Neodiprion lecontei: one gene and its partner. The protein of the gene in region 2 interacts with the protein of the main gene of each other region in a pairwise test. Links are inferred from orthologs where the notes say so. Each region holds a gene or a part of one and is shown on either strand. Other genes may lie near its edges. The genes, in order: rab5 GDP/GTP exchange factor and RING finger protein 11.

Region 1 (9,816 bases), on a different chromosome or scaffold from region 2:
AAGAGCGTTAAATAAATATGGGCTGGTACTAAAAATTAAAGCCTACATCTGCATTTTTCTCCACAATTTCTCAGTTCGACTCTTGAAATTATTGTGTAGTATGTAGCTTATTGTAAACGCATTTAAAAAATAAGAAATTGTCGAAGTATAAACTTATATTACAGATAATACAGTTATAAACAACGAAGGTATATTTCCTGCAATGTCTGTGTTAAATAGGCGTGTTTCAAATGCAGTTAATTCAAAATATCGCGTAGGATTGGGTGCTTGCCTAGACTGAGAAATGCTTGTTACGAAAAAACTTACATTTAAAACAACTTAAACCTGTAGCGCAGTGATGTGCGAGGGTTAAAATTAAAACATATTTATTTACACTTAATATCTATAAAGACTGAAGTATGTAATCCTTCCTCTGTTGATCTAATAATTTTTCCAGATGATCGCATCTCTTCTTTGCTTCATCAATCTCTTTGGCGAATTTCCCTATTGCCAGATCCTTTTGCGTTACTATTAACTTGACCCTACAACAATGAACATGAATGAATATCGGATAAAGTCGATAGAATTAACTATTCCTTACCTGCTATAAAGTTGAGCCATTTGAACATCTCTATTAGAATTATTTTCAGTAAGTTCGCGGTGAAGAGAGGCTATTTTATTCTCCAGTTCTCGTTTTTCCATCTCAATTTCCTTCCTAACAATCTTCTTTGCATCGTCTCTCTCAATCGTCAATTGATCTACGCTCTTGTTGAGAACGAATAAGAATTGTTTGTATTGAGTGCTTATCATATTCCACAACTGATTTCGACAATAACATTACACCTCATACCTGTTTAGAATTACTTAGCTGGATCATACACTGCTGAAGTTTTCCCTCAGTTATTTGAAGCTGCGTCGTAGTCTCTGTGAGGCGTTCCTGCACGGAGGTCACTTTACTTGTCAGCAATTCTTTGCTGTTATTCAAGTCTTGTAGCTCTGCCTCATATTTTTCTTTCATACATCTTGAACAATTTTAAAAGTTATTTAAAGTGGGTAACAATCAACGTGTATGAATGGGCACATTTAGTACCTGAGCCGGTTTTCCGAACTTTGCTGAAGACTAGTTTTCATGTCAAGAGTTTCCTTCTCGAGCCTTTCAATAGCCAGTTCTATTTGTCTGTCACGCTCTCGATTGCACTCATCTCTCAGCCGTGTTTCCATTTTTTCTAATTTCATATTGTGCTGTCTCCTGCAGTTTTCCATCCATGTCTCTTGTTCGACCCTAAGTGATTCTTGAACAGCTTTTTTCTCGATCTGATGCTGTCGTATTAAAGTATTGATTTTTTCCTGTAAACGATTGGGTTCCCGTTATTATTCTCATGCATCGTTGCTTGGTATAAGTCATTATTAGTTTCAGTATGACCTGAACGTACATTGAATTGTGAACGTGCTTGACTTATCGCAGCATCTCTCTCAGCATTGAGTCGTTTATGTTCTTGAGCTAGCAGATTTTTTTCACGTTCAAGATCGTCCAGCAGTTTGCGCCGCTGTTCTTGAAATAAATTCTCTTGCTGTTCTAGTTTCTCCTGATACCTGTGAATGTTATCAGACGGAATCTTTTATTGGTATCTAAGTAAGCTGCGTGATGTCTGAACATACATTGTACCTTGTTCTGAGAATATCTTTTTCGCTACTCAATAACTTTTCATGGCTCGCAGTTAGCTCAAGACGCAACTGCTCCAGCTGTTGATTTGAGCGGCGAATTGTCCGCAGCTCGGTATCCTGAAGCTCTTTGATGTGAGCACTGCGTATTTCTTGAAGCTCCTGCTGATGCTGCTCTACCATACTTCGCAGTTCTGGCTCTAGCCCCTTCACAGTCATTTCCTGAACAAGTAAAATGGAACAATTTGACTAGAGATTCGATACTAACATTTTTTTACCAACACATGTTTATATATTGATTGTGAGATAAAAGTTAGTTGTTCCACAAGCGTACATCTGATTAGCACCTTTATTTTAGAAGTTTTTGCTTCTAGCCAACGTTCGCGTCTGATCTTTTCAGAAGCGGCACAAAGTTCTCTAGCTCGTCGGAGTTCCACCGCGTGTCTATCAGCCACAACTTTTAACTCCCGATGATATTTCACTTCCATTTCTTTGATATGCTCAGTCAAGGAGTTGCATTTCTCAGTCAAATTTTTCTTATCTGATATTATTTGCTCGATAAATTTCTGATGCCTCTTTATCGTCGTCTGATATTTTGTCTTCTGAGTCTGCAGCTCAGTGCAATGCTGCTTTTTTTGCAATTCTAGCTTCTCGCAAGCAGAATGCCTTTGTGATTTTAATTCATTTTTTAAAATTTTTAAAGTCTCATCCCGTTCTTCCAATTGCAACCTAAGAGTCGCTAAATCGTCCTTTATCGTTTCAGGTATATGGGTTTGTGCGGGATGAATTCTGCAAGAAACATAAAACATTACCAACGGGATTCACACAAATCACACCTCGGTGCGAAAATCTTTGCACTCGCAAATAGCACTGCCTCCATATGAAATACTATACAATGCATATGCTAAAAACACAAATTCATACAAATTTTTGATGACCAATCTTACCCTTGATTGTTACAGTATGGAATAGATCGACTATTCAGTGTTGCTTCAATAATCTTTGAATGCGCGTAAGCTCGATTGTTTGGAACATCTTCTAGGTATCCTAGAAAGAAATGTAAAAATTCAACAGCTAAAGAGTTGCAGTATTCCCGTCATACCTTATACCATCACTGTCAGAGTCGCATATTTTACCTTCGTGGTTCAAAATCCCTAACAGGGACATGATGTCCTCGTAAGTTGACAGAGAAGACCCGCATGATTGATTGGAGTAATCTTTCTCCGGTTGAAGCTAATTGGGGAAGAAATTGTGATCAAAAGGTGTAAAAGCTAGCAGCAGTGTTTAAGCGCTCTAAATTCTGGAAATACAAGATATTTTCTCGAGCAATCGATACTTGCCTGATTGATGGAATAGTCTTGATCGTTTCCATAAAAGTGGCCCCCTTCGTTATTGACAAAACTTCCAGTAGTATTTGAATCGATATTCAGTTGTGCTTCATTTCCAGATAAATTTTTTTCCAAATCATTGATCATCGAGCAAAGCTGATCGAAGGAGCAAGAATTTGGCTCGATGACATTCTGATTAAAATCACTAGTAGTTTGCAGCTTTTTTAAGTCGTATCCAATGTTTTCAATCATAGCATTAATCTGATTGGGATGGGTCTCTGCTTCTTTCAGGTATTCGCCTTTTTTGGAATCCAGTCCTCCGTTAGTTTCGCAGAATCTTGACGGGTTTGAATTCCGTACGCGGTCTTCTGCGGAATTGCACCTCTGCATGGGCAAGCCATGTGCCATTCCGTTATCGGACATGGCAAAGTTACTAATCGGGGGCTTAGTGACAACCCTTGGATGCTGTATGTTGATCATTTCTTGCCATTTGCATTGTAATTAATTAAGGATTCCTTATACACTGACCACAACGTTCATTGAAACGTCAAGCCTTCGCTCGAAATTTCGTATGACGCGGTTGCTATGGAAACGCGAATGTCGCTCTTATTGCAGATGGCGTTTCAAGTATTGACTTCTTGTTGGTATAGTTCAGTGCTTAGAATTGACATAGAACTTCAACTGCATTTTACACAGAGAGGGTGGTCAACTTTGTACACCATTCATGAATATTGACTCACTTCACATGAGTTTCACAAGGAAGCAGAAGAAGAATCAAAGATGAGTTGCGAGATGACCAGCGCCTCCAAAAGACGTTTGACAAAATTAAACCAAACTACGGCCTTGCTCGGAGCAATGTAAATAAATTAATAGCACGACATTATCTGCAGCGTGCCGAAATCGATATTCTGTTACCGACCGCGACGCACGCTTCAGATAATGTCGCGCTACTACTCTATTCACACTGCGCCACGCAGAGACGTAGTTCAGTTTAATTTCGTAAACCAGGTTTTTGGGGGCGTTGGTCATTTCTCAACTTATCTTTGCCGTAGTTAGACTCTTCTGACGTGCTTGTGACGGACAGTCGATTTTTGACAGCTCACGTGAAGAGGTTATGTTCTCCTCGTAGGTAGGGGTTCAATTGTTTGCATTTCGCTTATTACGCAAATGCGTTAAGTAACCAAATTTGAAAACTTACTGCACCCAGTTGGAGTTTTACTCTCCAATTATCGACATGTACTCGATCAAGACGCCGACTCTCCGCATTGACGAGGCCGATTTAAAGTGCAAAAATGGTTGTGGATATTTTGGAAACGAAGAATGGCAAGGCTACTGTAGCAAATGTCACAGAGAACATTTGCAAAAGCAACGGGCTCAAAGAGAACACGCCCGCATTCACGAAAGGTATTTATTATACCAGTGCAACAATTCACTGACACATTGTAACATGCTATCAATCAAATGAATCATTCCAGGTATAACTACCGACACTACTTTCTATTGATAAGCCCTTTATTGATTAGGTCAATATTACTGGTAACGAATAATTGTTCGAACTGCGTTATATATTTACATTTTTTCAGTGATTCAAGCTCTAAGACTACCGTGCACGGTTTTTACAAATTTGAAGAAAAGAAGCGACAGCAAGAAAAGAAAACTAAACTATTAAAGCTGTCAGTCTTTCGCAAGACCGCAACGAAAAGTATGTCCTTATTTTAATGTCTCACATTTTATTTTCATTCTATGATACATCATTCTTAATTACGTTTCATCGATCTTTCAACTAAAGCAGAAACCTAATTATATAATAACAACCATAATAATATACTTCTAGACAACTGGTAAAGTTTTGGTGTTTCCATTCTTTCCTGTCATTCATTTTGATAAGATGTGAAACGTCATGATGGAAATATTCCTTATTTAAGCTCAAGGTTTTAGCGAGATATGGCAGGAGCTGGTTAAGGATAATCCTGAACTTGACAAAGTGAAATCGGAGACCCGTGACCTTCTGGTACAGATCGCTAAGACTCCGGCTGAGAAAGATGTACGAAAGTGTATTCATTCCTTCGTAAACAACATCTTACAAATGAAGGATATTAAGAGCGTTGAGGAGCTATCCGAACTAACTCAGAACTTCTATCAAGTATTTGCCAAGCGAATGGAAAACAGTCCCAATTATGCAGGTAATATTGCACTCTTGGTTATTCATGCGTAGGATATTCACAGAACTGCAGTAATCTCTATTATTATTAATTTTTAGATGTTTCTCCAGAAACAAAAGATCGACTACTAGACTACATCGAAAGATACACTATGACCTTACTCTATAGGATACTTTTCTGCCCGCCATCAACTACAGATGAGGACAAGGACCTTGCTATTCAAAACAGGTAACATCTCAGTTTTCCAATTCAGAGAATGGATGGAAACAGATAAGGTGAAAAATATGCTCAGTCAGTAACATCTTTCTAAACCAATCAAATCTGGTCAAGATTAATTTGATTTATGAATCAAGCTCGAGAATTTTTCTAATCAATCAGGAAATTTTAGAATACGGCAGTTGAATTGGGTGAGCGGAAAGAATCTGGAGTGTCGAATCCACGAAACTAGTTCTGACGTGAGAGAGCTTGTTTACACCTCAATAACAGGTAAAACAATCAAACTTCAAAGCTCAATCGGTCTGATTAATTTCACATAAATGTAACATAGTAACAATTGTTTCAGATTTATTAAATATGGACTCTGTAAAAGCACCGCAAGAGAAGCTTGCCTGTGTTGTTCATTGTTGTAGAAATATATTTGTACTACTGCAACAATCTGTTGGGGGTCCAGCTTCAGCCGATGAATTTTTACCGGCGCTTATATTCATTGTGCTGAAAGCTAATCCTGCAAGATTGAAAAGCAACATAAATTTCATCACCCGATTCTGTAATGCTAGCAGATTAATGACTGGTGAAGGAGGTTACTACTTCACAAATTTGGTATTAGTTCTACTCTGGGCTACGAAGAACCGCACAACTCAAAGCAATGAATATAAAATTTGCTGAAATCCATGCCTTCAAGAAATTTTATTCCCAATTTTGTTCCAGTGTTGCGCAGTATCCTTCATAGAAAATCTTACTGCCGAGTCATTAAACATGCCTCAGAAAGATTTCGATGCATATATGTCAGGAGCACGCGTTCCAGCGAGCACATGGGAATCTGCTCTCACTATGTGCGAGGTAATGATGAATACATCGTTGAAGAATAATTCCAACACTCTCATAGCTTACAGATTTTTATAATTTAGAGTATACACCTGATGTGCGAACACATAACACTGCTGGATGAATTGAAAGCGAAAAATTTGGAAATCATAGCAGAATCCGATGAGCTTAAGAAAAAAATGCAACAATTCCCAGAAAAAGTTGAGGCGGAAGTTGACGCTGCGATAACTCGCACTCCCCTTATTATCACGCCGAGTCAAAGGATACCGACTAATCTTGACTGCGTTGATGCAGAGAGCTACCAGCTACCACCACCAATTATACCACAAGTACAAAATATTGATGTAAAATCATTTGTTCCAAATTTAATATCAACTTATATCTGTAATATGAAATGCTGAAAATTTCTGTGAACTTACTTTCTATTTGCGAATACTTTTTAATCCTCACAACATTACTTTATCGCAGTATTCATCCACAGATTTACCCTCAAACCCTGAACGACGAAACAAATGAAACACTGACATCTCACGTTGGTGATTACAACGGACCTTCGATCGAGGATTGCATAACACCATCTCCAACTTTTGATTTCCCAGCCTTTGACTCAGATGGTGGTTTGCATGGAAGTAAAGGGGATGACGATACCAGCCTAATTAGCTTGGATACACAATGCGATCTTACAGCAGAAGAATCGTATCTACAAGACAGAGACGCCTCTGATAGTTTGCTAGACGAATCGCAAGCATCGGGCACTAATTTACCATCGCCTCTAAAACCAGTTTGTTCTCTACGTGAAGATTACCATGGATTCTCAATCCAAGGTTCTAACATTCCCACGATCCCGTGCAACACTGGTGATCTTTCTCACAACACTTCGGACTTGGAGGCAGATAACTATTCTGGCTACTTTCACAACATTTGAACGATTTGCAATTTAAACATACACTTGATTAATTTCAACCATAACATATATATCTAGATATGCACATTCATACATACCATACATATAGATATATATACACATACATATAGGTATATATACACATACATATAGGTATGTATACAGTAGTATGCAGGAATTAAGATGTAACTTGCATCTTATCTAGTCAGCTTCGAAGGATTGGATCGTGTCTTGTATCGATGGCGAGGTAACGTCTGAGATTATCGCTTTGTTATTCAAGATCCAATGAAATCAGCAATATTTCTAATATAACTTACAAATCAGATGCTGGATTAAAAACTATAGGTTTCAAGCTAGGATATTTGCACTGCTATGCTTACAATTATCTTATAGATTCTGCTACAGTGAAAAGTGAAAAAATGACAAGTAGGTGCTACGTTACCAAGACACTGCATCAAAAGTGATCAGTATACATTCTGGAGTAGATCATCATGTAAGTAGGCTATAATCTGAATTTAGATATAAATATTTACCATTTTGTAGCTACAGTTGTCATCATTTTCTCCAATTTGTGAGTTGACCACATTTTTATATACATCACAATTTCAGTGCATGTCAAAAAAACTGATATTCCAAACTTATATGAATATATAATTGCTAATGCCGTACTTTAATAAATTCAATTATAATCAACTAGGTGGTAGTCATTTGTAAACATTAATTATTTTCATATCGGTTTAACGATCAACCTTTGTCACTCACACTCAATTTGATTTCAGAGATACTGCACTAGACTAAGTGAGCGAATTGTGTCAGTCATCATTTTTCTTTTAATCCGATAGGTCCATCCTGACTAACAATAATATATATTTAAATGAATTTGTCTTGATATGAGGTAAAAAATATATTTTCATTAGAATTATAACGAAAACTAATATTGGTTATTGTAATTGGCACTTTTAATCGAAACTTATATTCACTATACATGGGTATACAAAGAGTGTATGAAAATAATTTTAAGGCCTGTACAAATAAATTCACGTATCGTATGAAATTTATTTATAGTGGTGTAAACCAAAAATGAAGTATAAAGTCAATACATGTGGTTGGAATACAGAATTTCGGCAGAATTTATTGTTAGTATGATATATAGCAACATTGAATTAGTGAATTGTGCAAATCGTGTTTTTTTTTTTTGTACATCACATTGACTAACTGATATCAATTACATATTTGGTCTCAAAGTCTGATTAGAATTCAAATTTTTTAATCTCTTACGGGCAGCTAGTTACCGGATTATAAACGTGACAAAAGTTAAATATATATAAACTATTTGTTAAACTATGATTGTACAGAAACCTAAAGAAGTGTGTTTGGAATGTGAAAAATATGTGCTACCTCACGCAAAGATTTTCTTAATTATTGAAAGCCAATGATACAAATAAGTTTGTACTTGGAGAAATTCTGTTATAGAACCATTTTATTACCTAATATCAGTTAAAGTTCTGTTTTCGGTATAAGTTTCACATTTTTTCACAAAGCCCGTTAAAGTGTGTCAAATATTTTTAATGCAGTTTGAGTTTATTTTTTAATTGGTGAACTTACAATATTTACAATTATCAAACATAATATCATCGTTGATACATAAGAAATAAGTCTTTATGCCAGAGAGTGTAGACAGTGTTAGTGTTAGTGTTAGTGTGTTATAATTTTTATATATTCATATTTATTCTCATCTCAACTACCAACTGATTGCCGGTAAGTAAAACTGAATCTTATATAAAAGTTACAAAAGTATTGCAATCAGTGAAAAAGTATACTATATTATTGCAGAGTAATGAATGAAAATTCCATATCTATAATATCCTCAAAGTGTAATAAAGACACAATAAAGTGTTACAGAGTTATAAAACGAGCGAAGAATTTCAGTATTCTGCAATAACATATTTGAATATCTAGAGTTCATACTAAAAAAAATACCTACAAGATCTATGTAATCGCATTATCACTAAAATCTACCCTGTTTCATTAGGTTATCAATCTATCTAATTATAAATAGTATTACAAGATATTGATTCATTTTTAACAGTAGTCGGTGAATAGAAAAATAATTACATAACGTAACGAATAAAGTACAATAAGCCTTGTTTTACACTTTCGTAGAAAGTTACTACTTTTACATTAAAAATCTATAGTATTTTCTATACCTTCGTCGAGTATAGAATATGCCCATTCGCGTCTATCTACTTTCTATATCTACACAAGTTTACTGGGCAAAACGAACTGGGGATGCCAAATGAAATATAAATGAGACGAAGGTCTTATCGTACATATAAATACTCCTGTCTCATTTATATTTGATCCAAACACTGCTGGAATTATGTGCAACAAGCATTTCCTAAAGTTGCGCTTATTAATTAAATAATGTCACACACTATTTTGTACCTAGAAACTGCTACAGTCGGCTAAAATATAGGTAGACTTGCTTCTATGATTATACATTGCACTTAATTACGTTTACATCTATTGATGTAAATTTCATCACAAGAACTACAATGTGCCTGACTGCAACTGAATTTTTTTATCGTAACAAGTTTCTACTTAAATCAGGAATTAATATTTCTCCACTTATGCATAGTGGATTTAAGCATTCTATACCATGTTATTTTCAAATTTACAATTTGGTAAAATTTTAACCATGAATTTTATGTATTTATACTTTCTCAAACACATTTTC
Region 2 (10,033 bases):
AATTGATGTGGGCTCACTGTCTGCAGAGGCAGTGGGACGACGCCTTAATTTACGCCAATCATTTGGAGGCTGAATCGAACTGGTCCAAAACTATATACATGTATCAAAAGGCGGCAATTCTAATGATGAAGAAGGATAGGGAAGACGAAAAGGCAAAAGATATGATCAGAGAATTGATGACTGAGGTGCCGATCCACAAGCAACGCATCGCCGGCAAATCGTTGCCGATGGAAAAATTCGTTATAAGAAAGGCAGGACGATTTTTCGCTCAGAATGAATCCCTGGTTTTACCTACTTTCGAGCTTCTTCTCGTTTGGAACATGTTCAAGGTGTTGGGAACTCGGCCTGACCTACTTTTGAATATATTCAAACTCGCCGAGGAAGAGGAGACTTCGTTGAAACTTCAACCGTTAGTATATTTAAACTACTTCAATAATTTTTTTCAATCACAGCCTTTCTTCGCTTATCTACGGACGAAATTTTACTATTCATTTCAAATTTTTTCTACAAAATATCGCAAATTCTTTCATCTTTTCCGACAAGATCTGATTACCAAGCGGACAACGAAGGTCTCATTTTGTTGCTGAAAGGAACTTGCCTGCGGCACATACGCAAACCCCTTCAGGCTGAAGAATGTTTGCGGAAGGTGTTGCGCCTCGATAAGCAAATCAAGGAAGATACTTATCTGCTTCCATTCGCAGCTGTTGAGCTCGCCTTACTAGCTAGGGATCAAGACAAGCCGCAGTTAGCCATTGCGCTTCTGGAGGATACAAAGTGCGTGTAATTTATACTACCCTGAGTTTAATTCAGTTCTGTTTTTTGTTTCTTTCCTCCGTTAAAAATGAAATTTAGTCACTGTTCCTTGTTTTTCACATTATTCTCTCATTTTCTTGCAGAAAAAACTACACGGGTTATTCTTTGGAGTCGAGACTTCACTTCAGAATCCATTCCGCTCTGCTTGAACTTACTGGTAAAAAACCTGAAGAAATTATAGGGGTTTCTGAAAACGGTAACAGCGAAGAGGAAACTGATGCTAGCACATCTACATATTTATAAACGTCCCTAATACACTAGAAGGTTGTTATTAAAAATTTATTCATCGATTATTATAACTGCAATTAACGATTGAAACTTCTCAATTCGTTAACTGCCGTACTATTAGTGTAAGATTACTGATACTATCGATTAATTTGATAATCTTCCACTTGTTTTCCGTCGGTTGATGTTTATCCAACTTATTCTCTCTATACTCATAATTCTCTCTTATAACAGAATTGGTGATATTCTTTGGCTAGCAAGAACGATTGAAGAAAGTATACTAAGGAAAGAAATGCAGGTTGAAGCAAAATCCGCGTAGATGCGATGTACATGGAGATACATATTTCCCCGAGATAGTTGAAGGCTTTTAGGCGTAGATTTCGTGGGAACTTTGTAAAAGTTTTATGACCGATGGGGCAAACATATGCCAGATGTGTTGCATGTACAAATACAGTTAGAATATAATTAATTCTAAATATGTAGAAAAAAGTGGTAAATAGCTGTAATTTAAATTAAATTCAACAGTTCGTTATTAATTTACAGAAAAAAATATAAGTGAACAATAGAATAGTTCGTACTTGTTCCTACACACAAGAAAAAAAAAGCCTAAGTTTCGCCTCAACCTTGAGCTAAATATTATAATGTAATTACTATAAGTTAGTTTTTGGTGTAACAGGATGTGGTTTTCTAGATTTTGGTATCTATTTTCTGCAGCTAACGGAATCGCTGATTATTTATTTTACACAGATAAAAGAGAAAAATTAGTTATTTATTCAATTTATTAGTTTTGTTATTGTTATGCCGTTTCAATTTTATGTAGGTGTCGGATCTTCATAACGTTTATGCAATCTTTTTTTTTTGCAATGTTAATCTAGTTTATTTACAGAATTATTTACTCCAAATAATTGGAATGTTAAACGACGATGTTTTTCTATTAATTCTACGAAGAGTAAATCGATCTCAAATATTTGAACGGACAAATAACATCGTCAATATATCTTCAGCTGAGGTTGTTTTTGTAAGATATTTTTCTATTAATTCTTCGTACAGTAAATCGTTCCCAAATAATTTAAGAAACAAACAACATCACTAATACATCTCCAACTGAGAAATATGGACGATTATTCAATTAACAATTGTTAGATAATTAGATGCGCATTGAAGCCGTGATCGTGAGAATAGCGAATTTGAATATCGCGATCTCCAAACGATCCTTTATGAATATAAATATATAATGAATGTGAGAAAAAATTTTTGTACACGAAACGAAATATTTTTCTAGAGAATGTTTAGGTAGAATAATTTAATAATTTAATAGATTCTTAGAGATGTATTTATTGCTATACATATGGATCCCTGATACGCATTGAATGCGTATTACTTGTTGTGATCTCGTATAAATTATATATGCAAATTTTATTGGGTCACTGTACGTTCGTTATTATAAAACAATATTGAAGATATCTTTATGACCATTGTTATTATTGTTATTATTAGCATTTTTTCCTTTATTCTTCGTTTAATGCAACTTAATTTTTATGTTGAATAGTTCTTACTTTACAAACTCCTCGCAAGGTAAAAATGATCAAAAAGGTCTTGAAGTATCGATATGTGAGAATTTTGTGTGATGGATCAAAGAAATTTAAGGAGATAGAACAAGAGCAAGGAAATCAGGCTTTTTGCAGAGAGTAAGGAAACCATTGTATGAAGTATTACAAATTTTATTTTACTTTCTCGAATTCCGTTTCATCTTCCTTTCAAACAGTCAAACAGCTTTTGAAACCTTTTGAAACACGCTTAAAGGCTGCAAAAATTGCAAATAATAAATTCGGGGCAATAATAAATAAATTAAGCACAAAAAAGAATGAGTAACATAAAGTGAAAGGATTAAAGTATATTCATCACAATGCAAATCACAATTATAGATGAATTTGAATGGAACTTGACGTTTAAGGAACAAAAGAATTACAACCAAAGATGATATATATATATGCATGTGTGTATGTATGTATGCATATATGTATGTGTAGATGGAATTTATTATTACCTTCTCTCAATTTACGAATATCACGTATGCATTTATTATATACACACATGATTTATTATAACGTCTTTTACAGGTATTTTTATTACCAAATTATATACTCGAAGATATTCATTATTACTATTATTGTTGTTGGTATTACCAGTATTATCAGATTTAACCCCATTTATTTAAAAATATATATGTATATAATTTTATATATAATTTTTTATTTATTAGCAAGCTATAATATAGCTATTTCAAAAGTTTATAGTAATTTTTACTATTCTATTATATTTAGGTCAGTACGATACTATGTTTTGTTATTTATACAGTATGTAATTTGACGGCATCTACTCTATACATACTTATGTGTAATATTTATCTACTTTCTTACGTAAGAAAAATTTCGTTCTTCGTAATGATGTCGCACTTTTTTTACTTTTTTTTTTTTTTTCTTTGTGTTTTTAATTTCAAGTAATTATTAGTGTCTAGTCCAATAATAAACGTTCGATCAATTATAGTTTACAAATTAGAAACCGAAAAAAAAAAAAACATAAACTAATATTAAATAAAAACGATAATACGTATAGCACCAGAATTCAATAACTAATCACAAATTAATTCGGGTCACAGAATGCAGCTTATTATAATTACAATTACACTTGATTAGGATACACATTGTTGTAAAAAATTTAATTTATTACAGAATCCTGTTTCAACATAAATTTCTTACTAATTAATCACCTTTTTTTTTTCTCTTTTTTCATTTTGTTTCCTCCCTAAATCATGCTAGCGGTAGTAGTTACGTTAATAAAACGATGTACAAAAGGCTGTCGATTCGCCTCTTGAAATTTAGTTTAAAAATATCACCTATGTATACACCATCTTGATATCTTAGCCTAATGCATATTTGCTCTCCATTGTTATTATTATTATTATTATTATTATCACTATCATAATCAAGGAAATATTATATCATATTCTATTTCATCAATATTATGCATACATGCTAAGCCTTTGCCAGTTACATTTTCCGTTTCAGAGATATAAAGACGATATCCTGAGTCTTAAATCGATTTTTAATACGAATTAATATTATTTACTATCTAGTATTGAACTTCCTATGTTACATTTATTATTTTCCGTAACAATATACTTTAATAACTGCCACTTGTGAACTGATATTAATATACTTTGGGTAGAGTAAAAAAAAGAATCGGAAATCCAAGCGTGATGTATCGATATAATTTGAGGCAAAATACCAAGTTTGTTCATTTTTCTTTTAACATTCCATTCTAACATCTCTAACATATCCGTGCACACATGTGCATACGATTTAATGCAAATTTCAACCACGACGCGCAATTGCTTTTTACATACCATGTCTGACTTTGGATTCAAATCGTGATCATTATTGAAAATCATATTGCTTACAAACTTTTCCTTACCATTAGCAATAGTTACTAAGAGGAGAGAAAAAAAAAAAGAAAAAAAATGCACCTATAGGATTTACATCCGCAATACTCAAGTTTCATATTGTAACACTAAGTAGATTAAGCTTATTCCAATATCTATCGAAAAACGTTACTCGCATAGAAGTTATCAATCGCTCGTCACGTACCAATAAAAAGTTATTGAACATATTTACTTGTATGGAATTTTCGTTTCAGAAGTTACGTATAATGGTTTAAACTCCCTTCTATGTGTAAATATATGACCTTCTTTTACTTAAACAATTCATTTGTTGATTGTTATAGTTGTTACAGCTGTTATCAAAATTACCTTAGGCAAGTAGAAATGATAAAAATGCACTGACCTTAAAGCTTGCAGTTAAAACCAATGATTCTTAAAGAGAATTTACTTCAACAATATAAGTGCAGTCCCTTTCCATTTTGACAGTCTATTTGCCGTGCTCCCTGACATCTCGATGTTACGATTGAAGAGAGAATGAAAAAAAAATAGTTTTGCCTCGCAAGTAATTTTTGTATTAAGTTGTAGCGTAGTAAGAATTAATGAGGGCTGCGTCGACCGGTTCCATGCAAGAAGGACACGTTAAAGAGCGTAACAACCAGTCGTCTATGCATACCGCGTGATAAGTATGCATACAAGGGAGATAACGAACCTCCTCGCCAGTAATTAACTCCATCATGCATATAACGCACTCTCCTTTTTTTGAACCGTCGTATTCGCCAGTGGGTAAATGCTGGATCAGTCCGATGCGTTTGGCAATTCTAACTTGTTGTTCTTCCTCGCTAAAACCGACACTACCGATCGGATTCATGCCGACTGTTCCTCGTCCCATTCCAAGCTCGGTCAACTGCTGATGACGGTCTCTTGTTCCCATCGGCGGATAGTAAGCGCTCGCTATCTCCTGTAAGTTAAGAAGATATTTTTCTAAATCAGTACTTTCAAACGACTTTATGAAACAATGAAGAAGTCCATTAATTGTTCTATAGAATTGAATAGAATTGAAACAAAGTATGAACAGATGAAATTAAGTTTATAATTGACGTCTAGGGTGACCTTGAGACTATATGATCCACGAAGCCAAGAATTGTATTTATCGAATCTGGATGATCAAGAAGTAAACTAAAATTACATTGTAAGGTGGCGGAGGGCCAAGAGCCTCCTGGGAGGCACCGCCGGTCAACGCAGGATCAGGGCTGTTGTTTAGCAGTGTCGTGTTGTCCTGTTGACCGCCTCCACTGCATTTTAAGCAGTTGCCCATATTGATAAATTATTTATTAGTGTACTTTGTATTAAATAAAAAAATAACGACCCGTTCCTTCTTGTATTTTTATTATTACTTGGCTGTTAAATTTAGGCACTGCTTTTCTTTCTTCTACCTTAACTGCTCCGTTTGGCGAGCGACGTGCTTCTTCGCTTTGTTAACGTCAAGAGAGAAAACAACATTTATGAGTCAGTGACTCCTCCGTGACGTTATCGCAATCTAAAAAGTGTGTTCTCGGTTACGGTAAAGCTAGATCACGCTTTCGAGCCTCCATTATTATTATTTCTCAGTTTTACGATGTAACCAGTTTACGGACATTGTTCATGGTTTTACTTTTGTTTCTACGTTTCCGACGAGCAGCTACTCCGCGTTCCTACCAAGTTTTTACCCTGTTCACCCGATTCCGATGAATTATTTGACTGTTAACACACTCTCAAACCACTCTGCCTGTGTATAACATGCACGTATCTTCTCTGTGCCTCTGACGATTGTTGTGACTACGACATCTTCTGTCACATACGAATTACGAATTACGAACCACAGCTGGTCAAGCTGGGCTTCCAATCGACCATTGACCTAACATCACTATCAAGGTGAACAAGTTCACGTTTGACAAAGCTACGCGCACGGTGATCAGTGTCTAAAGACGTGTTTACATGGTGCTAGAAATCGGACCGATTTCTCGGACCGAGAAAAAGTTACCAGAACTTGTATCGTGTATACAGCAAACTCGGACGTAAATCGTGGATCGAAAACGCGGATGAAAAAATGGATCGCGTCCCATTATTCATCCGCGTTTTCAATCCACGATTTACGTCCGAGTTTGGTGTATACACGATACGAGTTCTGGTAACTTTTTCTCGGTCCGAGAAATCGGTCCGATTTCTAGCACCATGTAAACACGTCTTTACAATTAGATCATACACTACTGGAGGGAGCTACCCATCCCAAAAAATGTATCCAAAGTAACAAGAGAGAAGGATGTATATTAGGGTCAATCTCTTTCTCTCACTCTGCATTTGATTGGCTAAAGAGGAAACGCATCAGTGGATCAGGTGGTGTGGAGCGATTGAAATAGATTATAACCAACATATACCCTCCTCTCTCTCTCTTTCTCTTTCTCTCTCTCTCGCTCTCACTGGCCAGCTACACTTGATGTACACATGTAAGAGAGTTACAGTCGAAAAATGCAAACTTTCCTTTGTAATTCCTCTCCTGTTGGTCCTACACTATTTTTGATGTTTTTTTGCATTCCCCAGAGTCCAATTAGTGGAAAACGAGTCCTGCAAAACGATTCTGAGACGAAAAGTTTCCAAGCTCTAAAAATTGCATGAAAGACAGGTCTTCCACGTTTCAGTCGAGTTTGAATCAGAGTTGACGCCGTTTTCAAAATTTCTGTACGTGGCAGGACGCTGCGGACACCTAACATGACGAATTCGTTCATGGAAACCCGGTCTAAGGGACTAGCAGAGAAAACGGCGCGAAGAATTTTTCGTCTTCCGTACTGTCCGTAACAAGGTCTTGTGATACAGTATTACGCCATACATGTGTGAGTGTATATAAATACTTGAAGTATTTTTATAACTGCACAATAGTAATTAACCACCTTTCGCGTTTACAAATGTGCTGTGAGTTGTGAATGTGCAGCTTTACGACGATATCGTAAGGTAACCTCAAAAGCAAACAAGGACAACAACCGATATTTAATTCATTGAAATTGGATAAGAAACATTCAGCGAAATGAGCATTGCGCCAATGGGAAACTTGCCGTAAGTTTTATACCTAGTCATTACAATTCTCCTAATCTAATTGATTATCATAATAATTAAACAACTTGTCGTTGCTCTCTTTTTATAGGTTAGATTCTATTGATCGGCCGGTTATATTTCCTTACAAAATCTATCAGCCACTGTCAGTAACTTCACCTTAAGTTCAAAGAAAATCTATTTTTTTCTTTATTGTCAACAATGATTAAATTGTCATTTACTACCTAGATTCTATCATCGAGTACAATCTATCTTAACCTCTGTCGATCTTTTATTTTATGTTGAAAAACGTTCTATGTTGCTGGATTGCTGCATTTAGTCTAAACATTACTATAATAATTATGTTTAATTTCTTCTTATATTCTGATTTCATTAATTTCAATTTTTAGGTACTGCAAAGGCTTGTGGTCTGTAATATCAGGGACTACTTGCCGGTGTGACAAGGCTCTGGTCAAAGATGAGATACAGAGCGCAACTGAGTTGCTCAAAAATGGTCTTGAATTTTTCAAACCTTATACCGAAGCTTCACTGAAAAAAGTTCAAGGCACAAATTCTCCACCGAGAATGTTCGCGATTATTTGTAAATTGTCGCCAATGCTGGTTAGTCCTTCCAAAATTAATAAATAACTTTTTTGCGAACAAATTAACTTGATTTTATACATGTTAAAAAGAACAATGGCTGATATTGATTAGAATACAATTCATGGACTGGTTGATCTGTTTTTAACATACATACTTTGCCATCTGAGGAAATAGTATAATAAGGACTAAAGATTACAAAATTTTTATTTTGCTATCAGAATTTAGATGCAACAATCGCTTGGGACCTTGTGTGTAACTTCATGTTGTACGAGTACCGAAACTGTGCAGAGACCTTTGCGTCACAATTGGCTGATGCAACATCAACAAAAGCATTAATTGAGGAGATCTGGGATTTTTATTATTCGGAGCGAGTGACGCTGATAAAATGTCTCAAGCTGATGGTAGAATATAAGGACAACAAGAGACATCCGCATAGGAACGAGTTTATGGAATTTTTTGATGAAGTCTTGCTAGGGAATTTATTGAAATCAGTTCAGAAGCAGATCGAAGCCTTAAAATTCATAAACACACCTGTTAGATCCCAGCTATTCAACGAAGAACAACTTCACAAACTGTACAATAACTGCCTAATTGAAATGCGAGAACTCCTGCACATTTTTACAATCATTTTAAATGACGTGCACGTTGCAGATACCGAATTTGTCAAAATTTACGGAAGCATAAGCGTGAGATATACTTCAAACTGTAAAATTAGCTTGAATATTATGTATCGATAATAATAAAAGAAGGAACGATATGTTATAGGGAGAACCCAGGCGCTTGATAAGTTCAAAAAGCCACGAAGACAAAGCAGCAATATCAAAAAAACTGGGTCAAATACAATTCAGTCAAACTGCGTTGCTTCTCGTTGGACTGGATGTAATGAAACAGTAAGTTGTTTATCAAGAAAATTGAATCAAGACAGGAATAGATGCGACAGTACTATAAAATTAATAATTATTGTTTAAATTTCAGCAGCGGAATGGAGGACTGGATTCGAGGCGTGCGAAGTAACATGCAAGACACTTTTGAGCACAAGTGCGTCCGCGATAGTACGCCGCAAGATGGACCTCTGCTCTTGGCTTGGATGCTCACAAACTATGCTATCGAGTCAGATAATCTAGATACGTTGAACAATTTTCGGCCTTTCGGTATCAGGGCTATACAGCTGAACGTGTTCTACTATCTTCAAGATTTACTGGACAGTGAAATGATTCGAGAAGATACTCAATACTCCGTGATAGTCCGGAGTAGCGTTTATAATTTGCTCACTCTTCTCTGCTCGTTTATCGAGGAGGACAGGATCAGTCAGCTACCGGGGGTCTTCAACGCAACAGCATCCGTGCTGAGGTATCCAGAAACTGCTGCACGATTCTGGAACGAACGGGACGACGCTTTGTGGATCTTGTACAAACTTGCCATTGATTGTTTTCCACACAAATTTGAACCTCTCACAGCCATCGCGACTGGCTTGGCTGAGGCTGGAACTAAGAGTGCAGAAAAGGTACTTTTGAGCAAGATGGCAGAGCGTCATTTTCTTCACCAACAAAAACATGATGTTTGATCGGAACATTTGTCTTGTCTTGTTTCAGCTGATGTCACAACTGGATAACATTGATTCAATAACATTGGAAATTCCTCGATTTCAAGATACGAATATGGAGTTCCGTCCCTATGAGCGAGAGTGCATTATTCACCATAACTCGTTCCGAATTCCGAGCCAATCTAGGAATAGCACGTTAGAAATGGAGAACGAAAAGAAGGTCGTCATTTGGTTTACAAAAGCGAGTTACTGGGACGCTTTTCACTACAAGATAGAGCAGCTGTTTTCCGAAGCGGGCGGAGGGATTGTGAACGTCAGTGACAGGAAGACGATTCTGCCGGATCAAG

What was found.
Region 1: the proteins of RING finger protein 11 (region 2) and rab5 GDP/GTP exchange factor interact in binary tests that used the Homo sapiens proteins (3 or more experiments, as listed by UniProt). The link is inferred for Neodiprion lecontei from reciprocal best matches to the Homo sapiens genes RNF11 and RABGEF1.

The regions. Positions count from the first base shown.
Region 1 is NC_060261.1:2,396,061-2,405,876, forward strand, and holds rab5 GDP/GTP exchange factor, read left to right. Parts: upstream 1-3,983; 5' UTR 3,984-4,098; exon of another isoform or gene 4,099-4,176; 5' UTR 4,177-4,203; coding exon 4,204-4,373; intron 4,374-4,552; coding exon 4,553-4,671; intron 4,672-4,894; coding exon 4,895-5,152; intron 5,153-5,229; coding exon 5,230-5,359; intron 5,360-5,519; coding exon 5,520-5,617; intron 5,618-5,693; coding exon 5,694-5,950; intron 5,951-6,058; coding exon 6,059-6,190; intron 6,191-6,258; coding exon 6,259-6,519; intron 6,520-6,656; coding exon 6,657-7,100; 3' UTR 7,101-8,198; downstream 8,199-9,816. Other genes in the region: centrosomal protein of 131 kDa, read right to left, coding at 383-521, 581-744, 830-1,001, 1,070-1,326, 1,413-1,572, 1,646-1,863, 1,989-2,430, 2,589-2,688 and 2 more. UniProt on the Homo sapiens protein: Rab effector protein acting as linker between gamma-adaptin, RAB4A or RAB5A. Involved in endocytic membrane fusion and membrane trafficking of recycling endosomes. Stimulates nucleotide exchange on RAB5A. Can act as a ubiquitin ligase.
Region 2 is NC_060264.1:30,665,561-30,675,593, forward strand, and holds RING finger protein 11, read right to left. Parts: upstream 6,458-10,033; 5' UTR 5,793-6,457; coding exon 5,664-5,792; intron 5,436-5,663; coding exon 5,052-5,435; 3' UTR 1,902-5,051; downstream 1-1,901. Other genes in the region: tetratricopeptide repeat protein 39B, read left to right, coding at 1-409, 544-774, 897-1,056; nucleoporin Nup188, read left to right, coding at 7,536-7,564, 7,951-8,161, 8,362-8,829, 8,909-9,033, 9,119-9,647, 9,736-10,033. UniProt on the Homo sapiens protein: Essential component of a ubiquitin-editing protein complex, comprising also TNFAIP3, ITCH and TAX1BP1, that ensures the transient nature of inflammatory signaling pathways. Promotes the association of TNFAIP3 to RIPK1 after TNF stimulation.